Stegostoma tigrinum: one gene and its partners. Each later gene encodes a partner of the first gene's protein in a complex. Links are inferred from orthologs where the notes say so. Each region holds a gene or a part of one and is shown on either strand. Other genes may lie near its edges. The genes, in order: ubiquitin-conjugating enzyme E2 E2, det1 and rlim.

The links.
Region 2: the proteins of ubiquitin-conjugating enzyme E2 E2 (region 1) and det1 are in contact, whole or in part, in a cryo-EM structure (PDB 9BJZ), measured with the Homo sapiens proteins. The link is inferred for Stegostoma tigrinum from reciprocal best matches to the Homo sapiens genes UBE2E2 and DET1. Residues at the interface, in NP_001357154.1 of Homo sapiens: Ala77, Gly78, Pro79, Lys80, Gly81, Arg88, Ser89, Thr90, Gly101, Val103, Phe105, Phe123, Arg124, Thr125, Arg126, Ser134, Gln135, Gly136, Gln194, Trp195, Arg198, Tyr199, Ala200, Thr201; in NP_001137546.1 of Homo sapiens: Arg258, Phe259, Tyr261, Asp264, Thr267, Val268, Phe272, Glu274, Asp289, Pro290, Phe291, Ile292, His297, Arg298, Leu300, Val301, Trp304, Arg305, Phe319, Phe320, Gln321, Phe323, Asp324, Arg327.
Region 3: the proteins of ubiquitin-conjugating enzyme E2 E2 (region 1) and rlim are in contact, whole or in part, in a crystal structure (PDB 6W9A), measured with the Homo sapiens proteins. The link is inferred for Stegostoma tigrinum from reciprocal best matches to the Homo sapiens genes UBE2E2 and RLIM. Residues at the interface, in NP_001357154.1 of Homo sapiens: Lys52, Thr55, Lys58, Arg59, Lys62, Pro112, Asp113, Pro115, Phe116, Ile142, Asn146, Trp147, Ser148, Pro149, Ala150, Leu151, Thr152; in NP_057204.2 of Homo sapiens: Ser571, Val572, Cys573, Ile574, Thr575, Cys596, Arg599, Trp600, Pro608, Ile609, Arg611.

What each region holds. Positions count from the first base shown.
Region 1 is NC_081355.1:65,292,645-65,299,712, forward strand, and holds the start of ubiquitin-conjugating enzyme E2 E2, read right to left. Parts: upstream 3,027-7,068; 5' UTR 2,941-3,026; intron 2,746-2,940; exon of another isoform or gene 2,542-2,745; 5' UTR 2,490-2,541; intron 1,756-2,489; 5' UTR 1,746-1,755; coding exon 1,570-1,745; intron 1-1,569.
Region 2 is NC_081386.1:24,626,286-24,633,987, forward strand, and holds the start of det1 (DET1 homolog), read right to left. Parts: upstream 3,039-7,702; 5' UTR 2,928-3,038; intron 2,496-2,927; 5' UTR 2,372-2,495; exon of another isoform or gene 2,368-2,371; intron 980-2,367; exon of another isoform or gene 930-979; 5' UTR 879-929; coding exon 1-878. UniProt on the Homo sapiens protein: Component of the E3 ubiquitin ligase DCX DET1-COP1 complex, which is required for ubiquitination and subsequent degradation of target proteins. The complex is involved in JUN ubiquitination and degradation.
Region 3 is NC_081368.1:21,549,828-21,557,560, reverse strand, and holds the start of rlim (E3 ubiquitin-protein ligase RLIM), read left to right. Parts: upstream 1-4,663; 5' UTR 4,664-4,784; intron 4,785-7,689; exon of another isoform or gene 7,690-7,733. UniProt on the Homo sapiens protein: E3 ubiquitin-protein ligase.

The DNA of each region.
Region 1 (7,068 bases):
TATTTAAGGCCAAGTTACATAGTTTCTTGTTAGGCAAGCCAATAAATGTTTATTGAGAATAGATTAAGTATGGAATTTTAAACAAAGAGATCTCGTTCAATGGTGGAGCAGGTATGAGGGAGCAAATGGTCTACTTATGTTTCAATTTTGAATGTTTGTATGTTTGTAAAGAGAATTTTTTAATCAAACAAAAAAGTTGGAAAATATACAGCACCATTTCACTTTGACAAGGTAAAGTTTAATATGCTGCCAAGCTTTTCTCTTAGTCTTGGTTATGTGGTTGGGCATGGACTTTCGTTGGATTGGTTCAAATTTATGAGCAACGTATTGCAGCAATTGCTATTGCTCCCATCAAGATGGCTAATCAGGCAACTCTCCCACTTAGTTTGTCATCACACTTACAGCTAGTTCTCCTGTAACACGATAGTTGCATTTTTGTGCGGCCTCTTACTATAGAAAAATCAGCTTATAAGGAAATTGCGATACTGTACATTAGAAACCTCACATTATCCAAACAGTGTCCACTATTCCTCAATTGTGCTACACACTTTATAACAGAAATATCTGTATTGGAAGGATTTACAGAAAGACAATCAAGCAGATTGGCAAAGTTAGAAATGCACTTTCCATAGCCAGCAAATCCTGGTATGACTTAAAAGAGGAATATCTGGCCCAGAGGTAGAGACACAAGCCATTCCTAATGATGCCACACAACAAGTTGCTTTGAACTAAGAAAGCATGGCAACCATTTTGCACCTAGCCATGTTCAACAAGTAGTAATGAGATGGGTAACTAAGTAAGCAAATAACACATTACTTTTTTTGAAGCCATTTGTTGAGTAGATACTGCTGGTCAAAATATTTTCAGAACTCTGGGGCTTTCCTCAAATCTTTAATCTTAATCTTAGCCACTGAAATAGGCAGATAAAATCTTGAGTTTTACATGTCATTTGAAGACTGGGACCTTTAATAGTGTTGCGGTCTTGTAGTTTCATACAGACCAGAGGGTGTGTTTGGTGGATGAGGAAATATAGCCTGAGCACACAATCTTCAAGCAACATGAGGGTGCAACTGAACTAGGTCAGCAAGGTGAAATGTGCTCACTGTGAATCAATGGCCCATTTAAAACTACCTTCAAATTTAAACCCTTACAGAATCCAATAATTGTTTAGCTGCAGGAGTTTGGTACCAGTACAGGCACTGGTGCATGGTTAAGAGAGACTTGTGTTGGCAAAGTTTAACAGCAGAACCAAAAAAACACTAATTGTCAACCTGTAGGTCCATACTTCTATGGGGTAGCATTTGAACATGTGTTTACATTCCCATCACTAAATGTACCAAGCTGAGATAAAACTTTCACTGAAAACATTTGCCTTGCAGAGGAAATTCGATTCAAGAGAGATAAATGTCCACGCTTGCATCAGTCAAAAGAATAGAACAATAGCTCACTGGCTTCAGATCAGAAGAAAGCTATATTGTCTTGGTTCATTCTTCATCTAATTTTGCTAATAAAACATAATGGGATTCCTCCTAGGACAAACAACATGATCAGTTTCGAGTAAGTTGGTACCTTTTAGCACTAGTTGAAAGTTTAGCAGCAGTTTTACTGGAAATCTTGGCATCTTTTTTCTTGGGCTGTGGCTGTTCCCTCTCTTGTTCTTGAGGAGTACTTTCTCGCTGATCCCCATCTGAGCTGCCACTACTGGTACTGGGGCTGTCATCAGCCGTCTGCGGCTCACTGGACATCTTACTCGTTCTGGAATTTATAGCAAATATATTAATTGAGCAATACTTGAAGTTCAAGACAATCTTGTTTCAAATCATTAAAAGACACAATCCACTATCCCAACTTTTTAACCCATTTCACAAACGCTGAAACAGCTTCAAAAAACAAACGTAATTTCCAATACAGATTTGAAATCGACCGCAAGGTGTATCTAAGTTGTATCTAAAACATTCGCCGAATGTAAACATTGTTAGGTCAACATCATGTCTCTTCGTGTTTCAATTTCGACAACAGCATTGTTTTGTAACATTTATATTTTTTCCGACCAAGTATAAATCCCAACAGTTACACAAACAATACCAGCGAAGTATAAGTCGAACATTTCACAGCCACGTCAAATTGCGCTTGATGTGGTTAAATAGCAGACGGAAGGAGGTTTTAAACACCGACTGTATGTCATTTGGGGCGAAAGTGGGGGGGGGGGTCAGTTTGTCATTTGCAGAAAGTCGGATATGAGAAACTGCAAACCAGTGTGCAGTGACTGATGCTTTAAAGGCCTTGCTCGTTTCCAATATCTCCCTCACACACACAGAGAGGAATATCACACAAAAACAGCTAAACACCATCCACTCTCGACTCTAACTTTCAGGCCGGATTTGGAAACTGTCCAGTCGTTTAGAGGGGCCACTAAGTTCTATGGGGTAACGGGGAAAGAAGGAGGTGATTCTCATTTTTCTTCTTCTTCTTCCTAAAAATCTTATTACCTGAGCAGTGACTGGGGTGGGGGGGAATCGCTGTCTATGTCTTCGGGTTACGCTGAAAAATAAACAAGGAAGTAAGAAAGGAGTTGAAACAGACGGAAACCAAACGGGTTTGACTGGTGATGTTGGTGAGAAAGTGGAGGAGACACCAATCCCAAACACATGAGCAGAAGCCCCCTCTCCCCTATCTAGCTATCCGCTGCCGACGCCGCTTCTATCCTCGCTGGCGCGCGCGCACGGACTCGCTCGGTCTCCACGGAACCACATGCTCGCGCGCCCCAAAACTGAATCAGCGCTTTCGCCACCGCGCGCGCACACGCGCCTCACGAGTGCGCACACTCTCCCAGCCAGGAGCATCGCCGGGAAGGGGACACGCGGGGCGCGGCTGTGCGCGTGCTCCATTCAACCGTCGCATTCTGTCTTTGAGTGACGGCGCGAGGGCGGGCGGTTACACCTCGACTCCGCGCTGCTGATTCAGTGAGTGGGCAAGAGCCGTCTCCCTATTGATCCGTTAACAACTTCTTGATTCAGAATTCCCGCTGTCTTCCCTTTGGAGGTTCTCGGATCTTTCAGGATTAGTCCGGTGACCACCGCCCGCCAGCTGCCCTCCTGTTAGGGATCCTATTCCCAACCAAAAGGTGCAGATTTTGCATGTGACTCCCAGAGAAACAGCAGTTCGGTCCCTGTTCTAAAGTAGTTTGTTCTTCTGACTTTTTAAAAAAAAAATAGCAAAACGATTAATTAATTCTATGGTGCCAGGCTAACTGCTTATTTTCGACATGGGGTGTGAGAGTGAAGGGAAATGACTGGAATGGCTACATCCAGTAAACACGCTGAGTCCTTGCGTCAAATTTCTCAGACTACCGCGATCATCATCTCAATCCAACACTTACTCCAGAAACAGTCAGTGGGAGACTTGGCGCATCGCAGTCAATGATATACATGCTGCACTGAGCATCGTCAGATTTGATTCATTCTGGTGATGTTTAGGAGCTGTCAATTCAGGTTGCTAGCCTGATCTAAATGCAGGGACAATAATTACATAAATTGAACAAATTCTGAAACAAACATAAATGCTGAAATCTGTTTGGTGCGGTGGTTTCTGACATTGTCTGAAATTCAATCTGAGACAACAGTTGGAATTGTTCGAATAGGATGACAACGAACCAACCTATACCTAAGGGAATGTTAAATTTATTACGATCTTGTGATGGAATGTTAAAACTCTTTGTGAAAGGTCTTTTTAAAATGTAACTTTCCTTCATGTGTGTTAGAAATAAATACAACTTGTTTTGTTTAAGTATATTTATAGCCTCTCTTGTGAAAAAAGTCTTAAATTTATGAGAGTACCTATCTCATTTTTCAGAAATATCTCAGAGCACTTTACAGAGAATTAAATACTTTGGAGAGGAGCTATGTATAGCTAATTGACAGAACCATAAAATTATTTCTATGCAAAAGGAGCCCATTTGGCCAATTGTGCCTGCACAGGCTCTTCAATTGAGTACTACAAGAGATGAGGACTGTCTTTCTGTCTCAGATGGTTGTATGTCTTTGAAATTCTTCCTCAAAAAGCAGTGAAAGACTTTTAAAGAAAATGCCAGATAGATCCTTGGCAAGCAATGGAGTTTAAGGTTATTGGGAGTAGTTGGAAATGTGGATTTGAGGTTTCAATCAGAATAGCCACAACCTTATTAAATGCCTGTGCAGACTTTAGGGGACATGTGGCCCATTCCTGCTCTGAACCCATATGTTCTTATGTACTGATCTATTGAACTCTGAACTGAGCTCAATCCAATGTCTTCTGCCTCACCAAGATCACCTCCTCCTTCCATTTCTGTAAATTGTTCACTTTTATCCCTGTCTCAGCTCACCAGCTACTGCAACACTAATTTGTGCTTTTGTTACCTCCATGCTTGACTATTCCAATGCTATCTTGGATAGCCCACCATCTCCCATTTTCCACCATTATAAACTTCAACAGGAGTCTAAGTGGCTATTTCTTATAGAATAATAGACCTGAAAGTGCCAATACGTGTACAGCACAGATATTCAATTTCTAAACATCTCTTTCCTGCACTTTTACCTCTCTTCCGTCAAGTATCTATTTTTGGTTGCTTTCTGTTTCTTATACACACGCTGCCACTTAGAAAGAACATCTGAAAATGCAGTTTCAGTTTTCACATGTATACCCATGACACCCAGCTTACCACACCACTGCTCACCCAACTCCTCCACTGTCTCTAAATTATCAGTCCTCTTGTTTTCTGGATACAGTACTAGATGAACAGAAATTTCACCAATTAAATATTGGGCAGACTGAAGTATTCAATCCCTGCCCCAAATTTAATTCCATAACCACTGAATTTGTTTCTCTCACTGACAGTTACCTGAGACTGAAATAGACTGTTTGCAATCTTAGTGTCAAATTTCATTTTGAGATGAATCCTTGATGGCATAGCCATACTATCACTGAAACCACTTATTTCCATAACATTGTCCACCTCTGCCCCTAACTCATCTCATCTGTTGAGGATGCCCTCATTTAAAACTTTGTTACCTCTAGACTTGGCTATCCCAGATACACTTGACTGGCGTTGCCCATTCTATGTTCTTTAAACTTGAGGTCATTGTAAACTCTGTTGCTCAAATTCTAACTCACACCAAGTCCAGTTTAATCATCATTGCTGTACTAGCTGACCTGCATTGGCTACAGGTCTAGCAAGCCCTTATTTTTGAAATTCTCATTCTTGTTCTCAAATATACCTCCATGGCCTTGCTCATCCAAATCCCAATAATTTGCTCCAACCCTTCAATACTCTGCACTTCTCTAATTCAGCATCTTGAGCATTCCTAAGGTAATGGCTCCAGTATCGATGGTCTTAAGCTCTGAAATTTCTTTCCTCAACCTCACTTCTTTTATTAAAGATACGTCTTAAATCCTACCTTTTGATCTGGCTTTAGGGAATGGTGCCTAAAATTTCTTTATATGGCCGGTTCTCAAATTTTACCTTATAATGCTTCCGAGAAATGGCTTATACATTTTGTAATGTTAAAAGTGCTAGATTAAATCAGTATGTTGCTGTAGCTGTCTCCAACAAAGCTGCACTACAGATGTGAAGACAATTTGATGTTCAAAGGTGACTAAAAAGACAATCTGCTTTATTCAATACAGGGAACAATTTTTACCATTGACTAATTGGAGAAAAATATCTGGTCAATACAATTGTGTAAGATGGCTGGACTATCCCAGAGTTCAAAGTATCAGCAATCCGTTCATATAACCAGTTCAACTTCAGGCGCATAACATTGCTTCCTGTATCAATCAAATAAGATTTTGTTTTGGCAATACTTGGTTTTTATAAGGTCACCAGAGCAAACATGCATGGAATCATGTCCACTTTATCAAAACTCTCACAAGACCTTTATTTTAAGACACCCATCCATTAATTTACGAAAAAAGACAGAAAAATCCTTACAGGGTGTTTTGTCCATTAAGTCTCCCTTGTACATCACTGAACTCATATCTGCCCAACCTACCCAATGTTGAATAGGTATCAAATCTGGGAAAATTAAACAAAGTAGTTTTCAGATGTTGTATGTGACTCTGAACAAGTAAAAGGCTCTGAGTAATATTCATTCGGACGGTCAGTTGAGCTTCAGGAAATCACGGTGACCTTGACAATTGGCAAACCTTGAACATAGCACCAAACCTGTGCCGTACTTATTTAAAGAGAAAGAATGAAAGCTTGACTCTGAGAAAACATCTACAACCATGGCTTTTGACATCTTTTACCAAACAATAAGTACCATTCAGGTACAATGAAGTTTATCATTCAATTGTGTCAGCAATTGGTGACGTGGTTACCTCTGAATCAAAAGTTGGGTTCAAGATAAAATGAATACAAGTTGAATACAAAATGAAACAGCCCTCCAGTTCGGTACTGAGAGTATACTACATTATTGGAGATGTTGTACATCAGATCAGAATTTAAAATGATGCCCCATCTGTGCTGTCAGATCCTATGGCATATTTGAAGAAGAGCAGCGGATTTACCTCTGTTGTCCCAGCTAATATTTAGCCTTAAATCAATATTGGGAAAGCATATATTTCTACTTACTTGAACAATCAGTATCGGCAAACAAAGGAACATAAGCACAAAATGTTAGAAATCACATGTTCCCTTCAGGACAGGAATGCTGAGATAACAAGATGTAGAGCTGGATGAACACAGCAGGCCAAGCAGCATCAGAGGAGCAGGAAAGCTGACGTTTCGGGCCTGGACCGAAAGGTCTGAAGAAGGTTCCAGGCCTGAAACGTCAGCCATTCTGTTCCTCAGATGCTGCTTGGCCTGCTGTGTTCATCCAGCTCTACACCTTGTTATTTCAGATTCTCCAGCATCTGCAGTTCCTACTATCTCAGGAAAGGAATGCTCCTCAGCTACAGTTGGCTCCTTGCTCTGGGTATTCACATATGTTGGAGCAAATTCATTTGATCTGAAATCTAGCAGGCATCAGGTTCTCTTGTATCTTTCTGCTCTGTCTCGTGACTATCCTAGCTAATTAAAGAGCAGCAGCATCA
Region 2 (7,702 bases), on another chromosome or scaffold:
AACGTTTTCTCCTTAAAAGGGCGTGACGGGGCATTTTGCGTGTCACCCTGCACTTCAGGATACACGGCTGAAACAGTGAGGAGGTCATCTTCATAACAGAAGCGCCCAATGGTTCGAACATCGATGAAAGTTCCTTCTGGGGTAACTTGGAACACATGAATGGTCTGATGCTGCACAGAGAGGATAGCCAAGATATTCTTATACAGGTAGAGCCCTTGGTTGTGCGAGAGAATGACCTTGTCGCACTTAAAGGTCCTCGTGTCACAAAGACTCCCTGTGTGCAGGTCAATGATGTGCAGAGAGTAATCTTCTAACGGTGAGCGAGGGTTTGGTGTAACAGACTCATTGTTTCGGTAAACGTCAAAGAAGAGAGGATGAGGCTCCTCAGGGAGATAAGCAGCAGAGCCAACAATGACATACCGGCAATCATCAGTAAACAAACTGCACTCACGATTCAGGTGCTCCCCATTCGACGCTACGCTAGTGACGTGCAGCAGGACAAAGAAGCGCTCAAACAATTTGCCGCGGATGTTGACAGACTGCAGATCATTGGCACCATTCAGCATGATCTCCCCATCGTAGCCCTGAAGGAGGTCCTCAGCTGCCTGACAGCCCTGGTATTCATAGATCTCCAATGAGGTTTGGTCCAGGGAAAATGCAATGAAATAGCGGCCATCAGGAGAGAACTTACGCAGGAAACACGGCGGCTTTTCTACGTTAACCACAGTGAAGTTGGGAAACACATTCTGATGCAGGCAACGCACCATGTACCAGTGAGCTCCAGGCCTGCCGGAATAGATCCTCCGGCGCTCCAGGCGGTAAACAACATTCTGATTCTCGATGCGACGAGGTTTGATGGTGGGTTCATCATCATCCATTCTCAGCCATCACCACATCTTGTAAAACAAAGAACTGCGAATGCTGGAAATCTGAAAAAAAAACAGAAATTGCTGGAGAAACTCAGCAAGTCTGGCAGCATCTGTAAAGAGAAGCAAAATTAACGTTTCAAGTCCAGCGACCTTCTTCAGAACCATATGTTGTATCTACACCAGTAAACGGAATACTGAAAAGCAGAGTCTGTCATCTAGTCAGTAATCAGAATATCAGAAAGAAAATATAAATAAGCAGGATTCTCTCTGAATCATTGTCTGTTATTTATCCAATGAGTACTTGTCTACCTTTTGCTTGATGCATTAGAGAGGGCACAGGAAAGGTGTTGTTCCAGGGATGAGGCTCTGCAGTAATGAGGATAGATTACAGGAGCAGGACTATAGCCTTTAGAGAAAGTTGAGAGGAGATTTGATGGAGATGTTTAAGAACATGAGTGATCGAGACAGAACAATGATGACAAACTGTCCCCATATCCAAAAGGATCAAGATCCACAGAACATCGATTTGAAGTGACTGGCGAAAGAACCAAAGATAAACTTTTTTTTAAAGCGGTGAGTGGCTCAGATCTGGGAAGTACAATCTAAGGGTATGATGGACACAGATTCAACTATAAATTTCAAAAGGGCATTGGATAACTATCTGTTAAAAAAAAATTGCAAGGCTACAGGGGGGACAAAAAGGCATAAGACTAGCTGAAATGCTCTTGCAAATATGGACACAATGGCCTCCTTTGTACTGCAACCATTTATGATGGTCCAGCAGTTAATAAATTGCTACATATGCAGGTTTGAAATTTTGTTCTTTACCTAGTGGAAATTTTAAAAAAACAGACCATTACGAATTATGTCCTCCTAAACACAGGCTGATCCAAAGAAAGCATTTTGAACAGTGCAATACATGAGTACTGGGGGTAAAGTCCAACACTAGTGGTGGCATGAAGTTAAAATATCCTTTAAAACAACCTATTTCTTCCATTCCATTGTGTTGCTTTTGCCTTACATCCAACGTACTGTCAATTCTCACAGTCATTACACTGAATCACATCATATAAAGACCAATGCCTGGCTTGTATGAATGGCGCAGTTTTACTTCTAAAAATCCTTCTTACCATATCAAGAAGCAGCCTCTAAGGATACAAAGGTTTGATTAAGAATATAACAATAGCTGTGTCTCCTACACTAAACAAATTTAAAGGATTTTTCCCAAGCCAACACTATATTAGCCACCTTCCGGTCTGTGGCTACTACTCTTATTTTCAATAATCTTGAATGATGTCCAATCACCCCAAGCGAACCTTCTCAGCCTATGTGTGATTACCCAATTTGAATCCCAGATTTCCTTTCAGTGGATTCTTTTCTAATCTTTTCTTTTTTCAATCCCACCATACGTTCTCAAAAAAAGGAATTTAACTGCTGCTCAAGAGATCCTGACGTGCTACAACTCTACATTTGGCAGAAAAGTCAAATGTAATCTTACCTACAGAATGCTGAAGTGAGCATGTGAATGGCCTTTTGGGTAGATATTCGCAACCAGTTCTGTTGATGTGAGCATGAGAAAAATGGTGCACCAAATACATGGACCTCTCTTGCCAGTTAGTCAATAAGCTTGAAAAAGAAAATATAGATATTTTCTAATGAACCTGTTCAGATGTGTTCTGAAACATCACTGGGGCAGACTGGGCTTGAATCCGGGCCTCCTAGCTCGGAGGTAGGGACCCTACAACTACTTCACCCCTTTTTTAATCCCTACAAATGAGCAGCAATCTTCAATTTTAACACTTTGAGAACGTGATTCATGAAGAAATGGGCAGATACATGCAGGCTTTGGCTGTCAAACTAATGAAACAAACTTACAGATTAATTGTTAACCGTTCTGCACAGAAAGAGGACAACCACCAGACAATCAAAGAAGCTCATACAAGGCCAGCTCCCGTCCTTGGCGCTCCCAAACAGTGACCCTGGGCTGATGTGTCCCACAGCCGAATGTCTACTATCAGGGCACTCCCTCACTCTCTCCTCGGGGCCTACCACACTCACCTCATCCACACGGTACAATAGCCAGGCCAGAGATCCCGTTCACCGCCCAGCTCCTCACCAACTCCAAAGTACAGCGCGGCAGCCCCTAGAGAGAGTCATCCAGCTCCGGGCAGCCTATCCTACAATGCACCGCGCATCCGCAGCGCCCCCCCAAAGAAGACAAGGGACTTTCACCCTGCACTTTCCACGTTCTGCCTTTAGAGGGCGCTCCAGCCTCTCTCTCTCCATTTTTCTGTTGTCACCAATCCGTTGGAGCCAGAGTAAATCAACGAAATCAACAATATGTCTAATTTTTCACCCTTACCCCACTTTTACCCTTTCCTCACCCGAAACACTGACCTAGGTTAGGGTACAATGTTGTGCGAATAGCCACAGTACATCATTGGCAAAGTCAAATAATGACAAATTACGACCTGAGGGAAGTAAGTTCTAATGAATCCTGCCCAACTTTGTCTCTGCAAATAGAGTAAGTAGTTAATAAATATTTGTTATTGTTGAAAAGAACACATATTGCCACAGTTTTCATTTTGCACACATCAGGACAATTTGCATGAATACCAATTCAAAGGGACAACCAGCTGGGGCCTTCTCTACTACAATTGACTGAAAGCCTGCCTCCACTGGTCAATGCACATGTTGCAATCTCACAGTTCCATGTACTATAAGATTGGTTTTATCAGAAACCTTGTAAATGGGGCCTGAGCCAATCATCAAAGTCCAAACTTGATGCTGAAATTGTGTGGATCAAAGTCATACTGTTTGTTGGCAGGATCAGACTATTTCTTGCTGTCTATCATGCAAACTCATGAAAAGTCCTAAAGTAGTTACTTGTAGATCTGAGAAGTGCCTTGTTTGCCTCAGATTACCCATAAAGGGTAAGATGTCTCAAAGATTTAAGCAACACATGAAGCCCACAGATTTCTCAGCAATCCCCTAGGTGTTAGTGACATTGTAGATCAGCAAATCTCATTAAAACATTGTCTCCCTGACAAGGAATTCCAGTTCTTACTCTGGAATATCTTGCTTTGTCATTGACTGCCCTCAATGACTCCTTAAAGCCAGGCATTTTAATCTCTTTCCCCAATATCCTGTTCCACTGGATTCTGGAGATTGCCCTCCAATACCTACACACAGGTGTATTTATAACTATTCACACACAGCCAGTTTTGCTAAGTTTAGAATTGTCCCCAGTTACTTAAAGCTCAAATATTACTTTAGCTCTATCAAACAAATACCACCTGTGGCCCACCTTCAGTGCATACTTAAGTTCACTGAACTAGCAATGATTTCTTGACTTCCTCCAAGGCCCCATTGCTCTGATGGTTCCCACAACTGCATCTGAGCCCTAATCCCAACTCTTTAGCTTGCTGTGTTCATCCAGCTTCACACCATGTTATCTCAGATTCTCCGGCATCGGCAGTTTCTACTATTTCTTTATTACATCTACTGGCTCCAAGGTTCTCTGAGCCCTATCTTTCTGGATCCTACTACAGCAGCCTCATTTTTGCTGTGGGCCCTCTTCCTCTGCCCCTCTCTACCTTACTGAACTGCAGCCCAAAGGTAGCAACCTTCTGCTTCACCTGCCTCCACATAACTAATTAAAAACTGCCTGCTGTGTAAACATTGAACTGTTTTGAGTGACCTCATGAAACACTGAGCCCCAGCTTTGTTCCTGAGTAAGACTGAATGCAGCAAGCATTGGAACATCACATGCCTATGGAGCAGTTCATTGGGCCATTAGCCCACACAACACAAATGGATATAAACAAAATGGATTTCATCACAATGTCTTGCCAATTCTGTGAGTTAACTGGCATGAAACATACATCATTCCATAACATACTTCTTGTGTTGCACATTCTAATCATTCTGTTATCCTAAGTACTACAATGCAGCTTGTATGTTATTCCATCTTGTGCATTACCATGTGTGCATTCAGGTGAGGATGAGACGCAAATGGCAGCCTTGATCAAAACTGCATTTGACTAAATGTTGTATCAATGAGCCCTAATAAAATTGCAGCCAATGAGAATCAGGGGGAAACTTCACTGCTTGGAGTCTTACCTGGCACATAGGAAGATGGCCGTGGCATTTGAAGGTCAGTCATCTCAACTCCAGGACATCTCTCTGCAGAAGTTCTTCAGGATAGTGTCCTAGTCCCAACCACATTCAGCTACTTCAACAATGATCTTCCCTCCATCATAGGATTAGAAGCAGGGAAGTTCAACACCATTCACAACTTCTTAGATACTGAAGTAGTCTACATTCAAATCCTCCAAGAAGTGGACAATATCCAAACGTGGTCTGAAAAGTGACAAGTGTCATTTGTGTATCACAAATGCCAGGGAATAACCACCTCCAGTAAGAGACAATCTAACAACCAACCTTTTATATTAAATGGAGTTACCATCAATGATCCCTTACTTTCAACATTATATTGCTGACCAGAAACTCAACTGAACTCACTGTGTACATAAGATAATAAAGTGTGAAGCTGGATGAACACAGCAGGCTAAGCAGCATCTCAGGAGCACAAAAGCTGACATTTCAGACCTAGACCCTTCATCGGAGGTCTAGGCCCGAAACGTCAGCTTTTGTGCTCCTGAGATGCTGCTTGGCCTGCTGTGTTCATCCAGCCCACACTTTGTTATCTTGGATTCTCGAGCAACTGCAGTTCCCATTATCACTGTGTACATACATGGTTACACGAACAGGTAAGAGGATAGGAATACTGTAGCAAGTAACTTTACTCCTGAATCCCCAATGCTTGTCCAACATCTCCAAGGCACAAGTGAGGAGTATGATGGAATACTCCCCACTTGCCTGGATTGCTGCAACAACACTCAAGAAACTCAATACCATCCAGATCAAAGCAGCCAATTTGATTGACACCACATCCACAAACATTCAATCACTCACCCACCATTGATGCTCAGTAGCAGCAGTGTGTATTACAAGATGCACTGCAGAAATTCTCCAAAGATCGTTAAGACAACAACTTCAAAACTCATAATCACTTCCTTCTAGAAGGACATGGGCAGCAGACAAATGGGAACACGACCACCTGCAAACTCCCCTCCAAGCCAATCACCATCCTGACTTGGAAATATATCTCCAATCCTTCCATGTTGCTGTGTCAAAATGCAGCAGTTCAAGAAGACAGCTCGCCACCACCTTTTCAATCACAACTAAGGACAGGCAGTAATTGCCGGCCTAGCCTCTGTCACCCATGTCCTTTTAGGGAATTAAACAAGGATACACTGTGCATTATCCTATGTGCTGTCCACTTCAGCTCGTATCATTGGTGTGCAGTGCCAACCAGATATTGTCCAGAGTGTAATAATTTCCATGCTTTGCGAAAGACATTTCATCCTGTCTGTCACGTATTTATAAATTACTATTCCATAATATACTGTCAAATTTATGTTTTCTGAGATGTTACATTTCTAACCAGTGTGTAATACATTTGAGATTGTGTGTTACCCTCTCTCTATTGCATATATTGTAATAGTTTCACTCCTGTGTTTGACACAACAGTCTAGCAAGGGCTAGGTACTCTGAAACTAGTGGCTAACCTCACAATGGTCCTCAAGACTCATATTCAGAGTAATAAAATATGACACTCACCTAGAATCCTGCAGATACAACATCACTCAAATTAAAGCTTAATGCCACCCAGACACAAATCACTATAACTGCTCGCCTCACCACCCTCTGTTTGAAGCACTGTGTGCAATCTATAGAATACCTTTCAACAATGCCCCTTCTACTTCAAAAGCACCTACAGCCCTGCAACCTTGACCACAAAGAGTGAACAACAAAGGTTCATCAGCTGAGTGTTCCCCATTAAGTCACACATAAATCTGTCTTGGATAAATAGCATCCCCCTCTCATCACTCCTGGGTCGAGGTCTTGCAGTTCACAGCATCAGCCACAATGGTGGGAGCATTACAACAGCTACAACAATCCAAGAAGAAGGTCAAGTGCCACCTTCTCAAAGCAACCAAAGATCAGTACTGAACACAGTTCTGACAGCATGCTATGGATGAATTAAATCAGAATCTAGTTATCCAGAATGTAACACACTCCAATCTATGATGAGTGACAACAGCTATGACCAGCCACAGTCAGGGGAATAGTCACCAAGCAGCATACTCATTGCTTACAGGCAGTGTCATCAAATATTTTAAAGGCAGAGGTAGATAGATTCACTAATAAGGGAGTCAATGATTATCAAAGGGATAGCAGGGAAAATGGAGTTGTACAGTCAGATCAATCACAGGCTTATTGAATGGTGGAGTAGGTTTGAAGGGCTGAATAGCATTCTTGTGGTCCTAATTCGCCTGTTTGTACAATCACTCTTCAGTGAATGCCTCCTGTTCGAAGTCCATAGATTCCCTATAGTGCAGATGGAGGTCATTTGGCCCATCAAGTCTACACTAACCCTCTGAAGAGCATCCTGCTCAGACCCAAAGCTGCACCCTATTCTTGTAAACCAGTATTTATCACAGCTATCCACCTAGCCTGCACATCACTATGGGATAATTTAGCACGGCCAATGTACCTACCCTGCACGTCTTTGGACTGTGGTTGGAAACTGGTCCACCCGGTGGAAATCCACACAGACACTGGGAGAATATACAAACTCCACACACAAGGCTGGAGCCAAATCTGAGTCCCTGTTGCTGGGAGGCAGCAGTGCTAACCATTGAGCCACCATGCTACCTAAAGTTGCTTGTGAATCGGAATTGGGTGATAACAAGGTCATGTTTAGA
Region 3 (7,733 bases), on another chromosome or scaffold:
ATAGGTACTTTGCATGAGTCTTCGTGGTGACATATCAGAACTTCAAGGGGGCAGAGTGAATGTTGTGGTCATCTCTAAAGAGAGAGTGTTGGGAAAGCTGAAATAGCTGCAGATGCATAAAACACCTGCACCGGATGGACTGTTTACCAGAGTTCTGACGGAGATAGCTAAAGCAATCGTGGAAACATTGGTGGTGATCTTTCAGGAATCACTGGAGTCAGGGAAGGTCCCAGAGGACAAGAAAATGGCTAATGTAATACTCCTGTTTAAGATAGGAGGGAGGCAGAAGATGAGAGATGACAGACTGGTTACCTGAACTTTGTTGTTGGTCGGAAATTAAAGTCTGCTAATAAGGATAAGATTGCAGAGTACTTGTAAGTGCATGATAAAATAGGGCTGAGTCAGCATGGCATCTTGAAGGGGAGGTCACACCTGACAAATTTTGTTAAAAGTCTTTGAGGAGGTAACAAGCAAATTATACAAAGGAACAGGAGTGGATACGATCTGTTTGGATTTCCAGAAGGTTTTTGATAAGGTGCTGCACGGGAGTTTAGAAGGATGTGGAAAGGGGGTGGAGTTTCTCATTGAAACTTAAGAGGCCTGAGTACAGTGGACGTGGAGAAGAATTTTCCACTAGTAGGAGAGACTAGGGCCTGAGGGCACCGCTTCACCACGACCCTTTAGAACTGAGAAATTTTTTTAGCCAGAATGTGGTGAATCTGTGGAATTCATTGCTATAGAGTGCTGTGGAGGCCAATTCATTGAGTGTATTTAAAGAGGTAGATAGGTTCTTGATTGGTAGTGGGGTCAATGGTTAAGAGGAGAAGGCAAAAGAATGCAGTTGAGAAATATATATTTTTGAATATGCAATGAACAGGATTAATGAAGGCAAAGTGGTGGACATGATCCATATGGACTTCAGTAAGGCGTTCGAGAAGGTTCCACATGGTAGACTGGTTAGCAAGGTTAGCTCACATGGAATATAGAACTAGCCAATTGGATACAGAGTTTACTTAAAGATAGGAGACAGAGTGTGGTGGTGGAGGGTTTTTTCTTGGACTAGAGGCCTTTGACCAGCGGTATGCCTCAAACATCGGTATTGGGTCCACTGCTTATTCATCATTTATATAAATGATTTGGATGTGAACATAGGGTTATGGTTAGTAATTTTACAGACGACAACTAAATTCGGTGGTGTTGTGGACAGCCGGGAAGGTTACCTCAAAGTACAATGGGATCTTGATAAGATGGGCTGGTGGGCTGAGGTGTTGCAGACAGAGTTTAATTTAAATAAATGTGAGGTATTGCATTTTGGAAAGGCAAGTCAAGGCAGCACTTATATACTTCATGGTATTGTTGCTGAGAGTGTTGCTGAACAATGAGACCTTGGAGAGAGATAATGGGAACTGAAGATGCTGGAGAATCCAAGATAATAAAGTGTGAAGCTGGATGAACACAGCAGGCCAAGCAGCATCTCAGGAGCACAAAAGCTGACGTTTCGGGCCTAGACCCTTCATCAGAGAGGGGGATGGGGTGAGGGTTCTGGAATAAATAGGGAGAGAGGGGGAAGCAGACCAAGGATGGAGAGAAAAGAGGATAGGTGGAGAGGAGAGTATAGGTGGGGAGGTGGGGAGGGGATAGTTCAGTCCAGGGAAGACGGACAGGTCAAGGAGATGGGATGAGGTTAGTAGGTAGGAGATGGAGGTGCGGCTTGGGGTGGGAGGAAAGGATGGGTGAGAGGAAGAACAGGTTAGGGAGGCAGAGACAGGCTGGACTGGTTTTGGGATGCAGTGGGTGGAGGGGAAGAGCTGGGCTGGTCGTGTGGTGCAGTGGGGGGGAGGGGACGAACTGGGCTGGTTTTGGGATGCGGAGGGGGAAGGGGAGATTTTGAAGCTGGTGAAGTCCACATTGATACCATTGGGCTGCAGGGTGCCCAAGCCGAATATGAGTTGCTGTTCCTGCAACCTTCGTGTGGCATCATTGTGGCACTGCAGGAGGCTCATGATGGACATGTCATCTAAAGAATGGGAGGGGGAGTGGAAATGGTTTGCGACTGGGAGGTGCAGTTGTTTATTGCGAACCGAGTGGAGGTGTTCTGCAAAGCCGTCCCCAAGCCTCCGCTTGGTTTCCCCAATGTACAGGAAGACACACCGGGTACAATGGATGCAGTATACCACATTGGCAGATGTGCAGGTGAACCTCTGCTTAATATGGAAAGTCATCTTGGGTCCAAAACCAGCCCAGTTCGTCCCCTCCCCCGACTGCACCACACAACCAGCCCAGCTCTTCCCCTCCACCCACTGCATCCCAAAACCAGTCCAACCTGTCTCTGCCTCCCTAACCTGTTCTTCCTCTCACCCATCCCTTCCTCCCACCCCAAGCCGCACCTCCATCTCCTACCTAATAACCTCATCCCACCTCCTTGACCTGTCTGTCTTCCCTGGACTGACCTATCCCCTCCCCACCTCCCCACCTCCCCACCTATACTCTCCTCTCCACCTACCTTCTTTTCTCTCCATCTTCGGTCCGCCTCCCCCTCTCTCCCTATTTATTCCAGAACCTTCACCCCATCCCCCTCTCTGATGAAGGGCCTAGGCCCGAAACGTCAGCTTTTGTGCTCCTGAGATGCTGCCTGGCCTGTTGTGTTTGTCTAGCTTCACACTTTATTACAATGAGACCTTGGAGTACAGGTTCATAGTTCTTTGGAAGTAGAGTCACAGATAGGTAGCGTAGTGAAGGAGGTGTATAGTGTGCTTCCCTTTCTTGGTCAGTGCAACGGGACTTGGGAGGTCATGTTCTGGTTGGTTGGATATTGGTTCGGCCACTTTTGGAAACCTGCATGCATTTCTGACCTCCCTATTACTGGAAGGATGTTGTGAAACTTGAAAGGGTTCAGAAAAGATTTATGAGGATGTTGCCAGGGTTGGAGGGCTTGAGCTATAGGGAGAGACTGAATAGGCTGGGGCTATTTTCCCTGGAGCATTGGAGGCTGAGAGGTAACCTCATAGAAGTTTATAAAATTATGACGGCCATGGACAAGGGGGATAGACAGGTCTTTTTCCTGGGGTAGTGCAGTCCAAACTAGAGGCATAAGTTTGAGGTGAGAGGGGAAAGATTTAAAAGGTACCTAAGGGGCAAATTTTTCACACAGAGGATGGTGCATGTATGGAATGGGATGCCAGAGGAAGTGGTAGAGCTTGGTCCAATTACAACATTTAAAAGGCATCTGGATGGGTAAATGAATAGGAAAGATTTAGAGGGATACAGGCCAAATGCTGGGAAATGTCTCCAAATTAATTTAAGATATCTGGTTTGCAAGGATGATTTGGACTGAAGGGTCTGTTTCCATGCTGTACAGCTCTGTGACTCAATAAACATGATCGAATGGTGAGCAGACTCAGTAGACCAGAAGGCCTGATACCGCTCCTATATCTTATGGTACTAATATATAGTTAATTCCTCACTTGCTTAATCAAGTCATAATTATTGAAAACTAACTCAAGTCTACATGGGTTGCAGATAATTGTGGTTGAGCATATCACGTAACAGCTACAATCAGATTGTGCAGATTCTCAGCAATTTACCCCCTCCCAGTCAAGGCTAGTGACACCGAAGAACACCAAATCTCATTAAAATTTGGAATCTGCATTCTCGCACTTGCTGTCAGGATCAATTGCAACTTTTCACAGATAGCTTCACCAAGTTAGCATTTTGACTGAAATTTTTTGACTTTTAAGTTTGCTCAGCTGTGCAAAGCAAATACTATTTCTGGGATTTTCAACCACCATCTTCAGCTACAGTGAGGTATTAATTGACTGCAACTTTATTCTGAGGTCCTCAGTTTCCAGACATTCCAGAGCACTGACTCTAACATTGTGCTGCTCAGAATTATCCAATGTTCTGCTAGACTTTTCTCTGAGCTTCACAATACAGAAAGAGCAGTGTTCTCAACATTAGATTTCTCATGGAGCCTGCTTTTGGCTCCCTTACTCACTCTCCAACCACATATAACTCTTGAATTCTTGAAATCTATGAAATATTCTGAGCGACTCATTGCAACAAGCCTGATCTTGTTCCTTGGCAGGACTGAATTTTAAATAGGGGAACTCAAATGAAGAAAGTGCTTGGACCTGTCTATTCCCTCGATGTTCACAACCTGCTGGGGTACACTGGGAATAACAGGGCTCTTATGCCAGCAGACCTGGGTTTACACCCCACCTGCTCCAGAAGTATGTCTCTGACCAAGTAGAATAGAAAATATTTGTACAAAAGAGAGGATTTCATCACATTCTCTCCACATCTGCTGTCTGGCCTTTATTTATTATTATTATTAATTCACAAGATGAGCACATCACCGGCTGGTCCAACATTTATTGTCTATCCCTAAATGCCCAGGGGGCAGTTAAGAGTCAACCACCTTATTGTTGCTGAGAAATTCCTGGTACTTATTTTGTGTATATTTAAACATCTGCTTTAATATGACAGTAAATATAATCGAATGCATAGGGATATGAACTGCAGTTCTTTTAAAGTAAAAAAAAACTGCTTTGATTCATGCTTTCTTGCAGAGGCGATGATGTCGTGCCCGGAATCTTTCTCCAGGAGTTGAGCCGTTGTGCGGGCTGGTGGGATGGTTTTGGGTAGCGGTTCCCACCTGCCGGGGGGATGACAGAAGCGGCGGGACACTGCGCTGGTTTCCTGTTTCCGCTTGTCTCTCCCACTCTAACAATGGTGGTAACGGTGTGAGCGGCCCGACCCGAACGGATCGAACTCGACGTGAGCAGGTGAGGGCGCCCGGGGCCGGAGGGCTCTCACGGCCGGTGCTGGCAGATCGCGGTTGGCGGCGCCTATTGATTTCTTCTCGCCCTTCTCTGTCCTCCCTGTCGCCGGTCGCGCACACCCTGCTGCGTACGGCAGCTTGTGAACAGGCCGATGGGGAACCGGCGCCGGGGAAAGGCCCAGGCTCTGCGGCCTAATCTCAGCCATGGCGGGGCGTGGATAAGACGGCCGGGGATTCCGTGAGGGTTTAACCACCCCATCTCCCATGTTTTTTCCCCTAAACTCCGGGCTGCTTATTCTTCCCGCCGGTTTACAAAACCAATCCCTCCTTTTTTTAAAAAAAAGTCGGCGTCTTTTGAAACAGTCCCCTTCTCAGCGCAATTACTTCAGATAAAATCACCAGGTGTTTCCATATTTTTAAAGCCTGATTGCTCCCGGTTTGTTTTCTTTTTGGTTGGGCCACTTTGTCTTTTTTGTTTGTCTTGATGAAATTATTCGGAGCTAATTTACTATTTTCTCCTGTGTCACTGCCTACCCTTGGAGCTATGGGAGGGAATGCTGGAGGGAAGGATGAGTGTTTTTTTAATGCTAATACGGTTCGTCAACAGGTTCAGTTTCCTGTCTTAGTGCGAATTTATTTTTGTGTTCTCCTTTTGCCCCCTCACTGTCGCCTTGGTAATAATCACCGATTGATCTACAATAGAAGTCTGGCGCATTACGATCTTTGTGATTGCGTAACTGGCTTTATGTAGGTCAATAGTGCAATATAGCAGAAGATAGAAATACACTGGTGCTTTGAAACAAAAAAATGATGCTTTTGAGCGAAGTCTTGAAGCTTCCTTCTTTCTCAGGTTGGTGTATGTTTGGACTTAAGTGGGATATTAATGGTGACGATAGCGTAAAACAGGCATTCATTGCTTTTGTGATAATGGGAACTGCAGATGCTGGAGAATCCGAGATAATAAAATGTGAGGCTGGATGAACACAGCAGGCTCAGGAGCACAAAAGCTGACGTTTCGGGCCTAGACCCTTCATCAGAGAGGGGGATGGGGTGAGGGTTCTGGAATTAATAGGGAGAGAGGGGGAGGCGGACCAAAGATGGAGAGAAAAGAAGATAGGTGGAGAGGAGAGTACAGGTGGGGAGGTAGGGAGGGGATAGGTCAGTCCAGGGAAGACGGACAGGTCAAGGAGGTGGGATGAGGTTAGTAGGTAGGAGATGGAGGTGCGGCTTGGGGTGGGAGGAAGGGATGGGTGAGAGGAAGAACAGGTTAGGGAGGCAGAGACAGGTTGGACTGGTTTTGGGATGCAGTGGGTGGAGGGGAAGAGCTGGGCTGGTCGTGTGGTGCAGTGGGGGGAAGGGGACGAACTGGGCTGGTTTTGGGATGCGGTGGGGGAAGGGGAGATTTTGAAGCTGGTGAAGTCCACATTGATACCATTGAGCTGCAGGGTTCCCAAGCCGAATATGAGTTGCTGTTCCTGCAACCTTCGGGGGGCATCATTGTGGCACTGCAGGAGGCCCATGATGGACATGTCATCTAAAGAATGGGAGGGGGAGTGGAAATGGTTTGCCACTGGGAGGTGCAGTTGTTTATTGCGAACCGAGCGGAGGTGTTCTGCAAAGCGGTCCCCAAGCCTCCGCTTGGGGACCACTTTGCAGAACACCTCCGCTCGGTTCGCAATAAACAACTGCACCTCCCAGTGGCAAACCATTTCCACTCCCCCTCCCATTCTTTAGATGACATGTCCATCATGGGCCTCCTGCAGTGCCACAATGATGCCCCCCGAAGGTTGCAGGAACAGCAACTCATATTCGGCTTGGGAACCCTGCAGCTCAATGGTATCAATGTGGACTTCACCAGCTTCAAAATCTCCCCTTCCCCCACCGCATCCCAAAACCAGCCCAGTTCGTCCCCTTCCCCCCACTGCACCACACGACCAGCCCAGCTCTTCCCCTCCACCCACTGCATCCCAAAACCAGTCCAACCTGTCTCTGCCTCCCTAACCTGTTCTTCCTCTCACCCATCCCTTCCTCCCACCCCAAGCCGCACCTCCATCTCCTACCTACTAACCTCATCCCACCTCCTTGACCTGTCCGTCTTCCCTGGACTGACCTATCCCCTCCCTACCTCCCCACCTGTACTCTCCTCTCCACCTATCTTCTTTTCTCTCCATCTTTGGTCCGCCTCCCCCTCTCTCCCTATTAATTCCAGAACCCTCACCCCATCCCCCTCTCTGATGAAGGGTCTAGGCCCGAAACGTCAGCTTTTGTGCTCCTGAGATGCTGCTTGGCCTGCTGTGTTCATCCAGCCTCACATTTTATTCATTGCTTTTGGTGTGGTTTACTTTGCAATATAATTAAGTGAGAATATGTCTGATGTTTGTAAAATGAAAACTTCATGTGAACAAATTGTTCTGTTTTGTTGACTTTTTTTCCCTCAAGCTTGAGGGTACACTAAACAGAGAGCTAAGATTGCTATATGCAAGAAACGTGGAATTTGGGCATGTGCTGTGGAGTAATTCAAACTTTCTGACTGGTTGCCTTTGAATTTATCTCAACTTTGATTTTAAAAAATCAAACTGTATCTCCCTCTTACACATACTCTTTGTTACAGGGATAATAAAGATTTTTGTCGATTTTTCAGTTGCCATTTCTTCCATCACAGTTCAGTGATTATTAACATTTATAAGTTACATCATTAACAGTGATGGCAGACTTGCGCATTGGGTGATGAATGTACAGTACTAAGAATTCTTTATTTAGAATAGATGTAAATTTATAGTTTTTAATTCCATCTGGGTGTGAGGTATATTGATTTCCTTGTACTTGATCAAAACGTGACCAGTGATTTTTATTGTTCTCAATAATTATCTTTACAAATTTAACAATCTTGTTTTCTGTATGTTTTTCAGTACCCTCCAATAACGCTGCACAGTGTTACGGGTTATTCATTTGG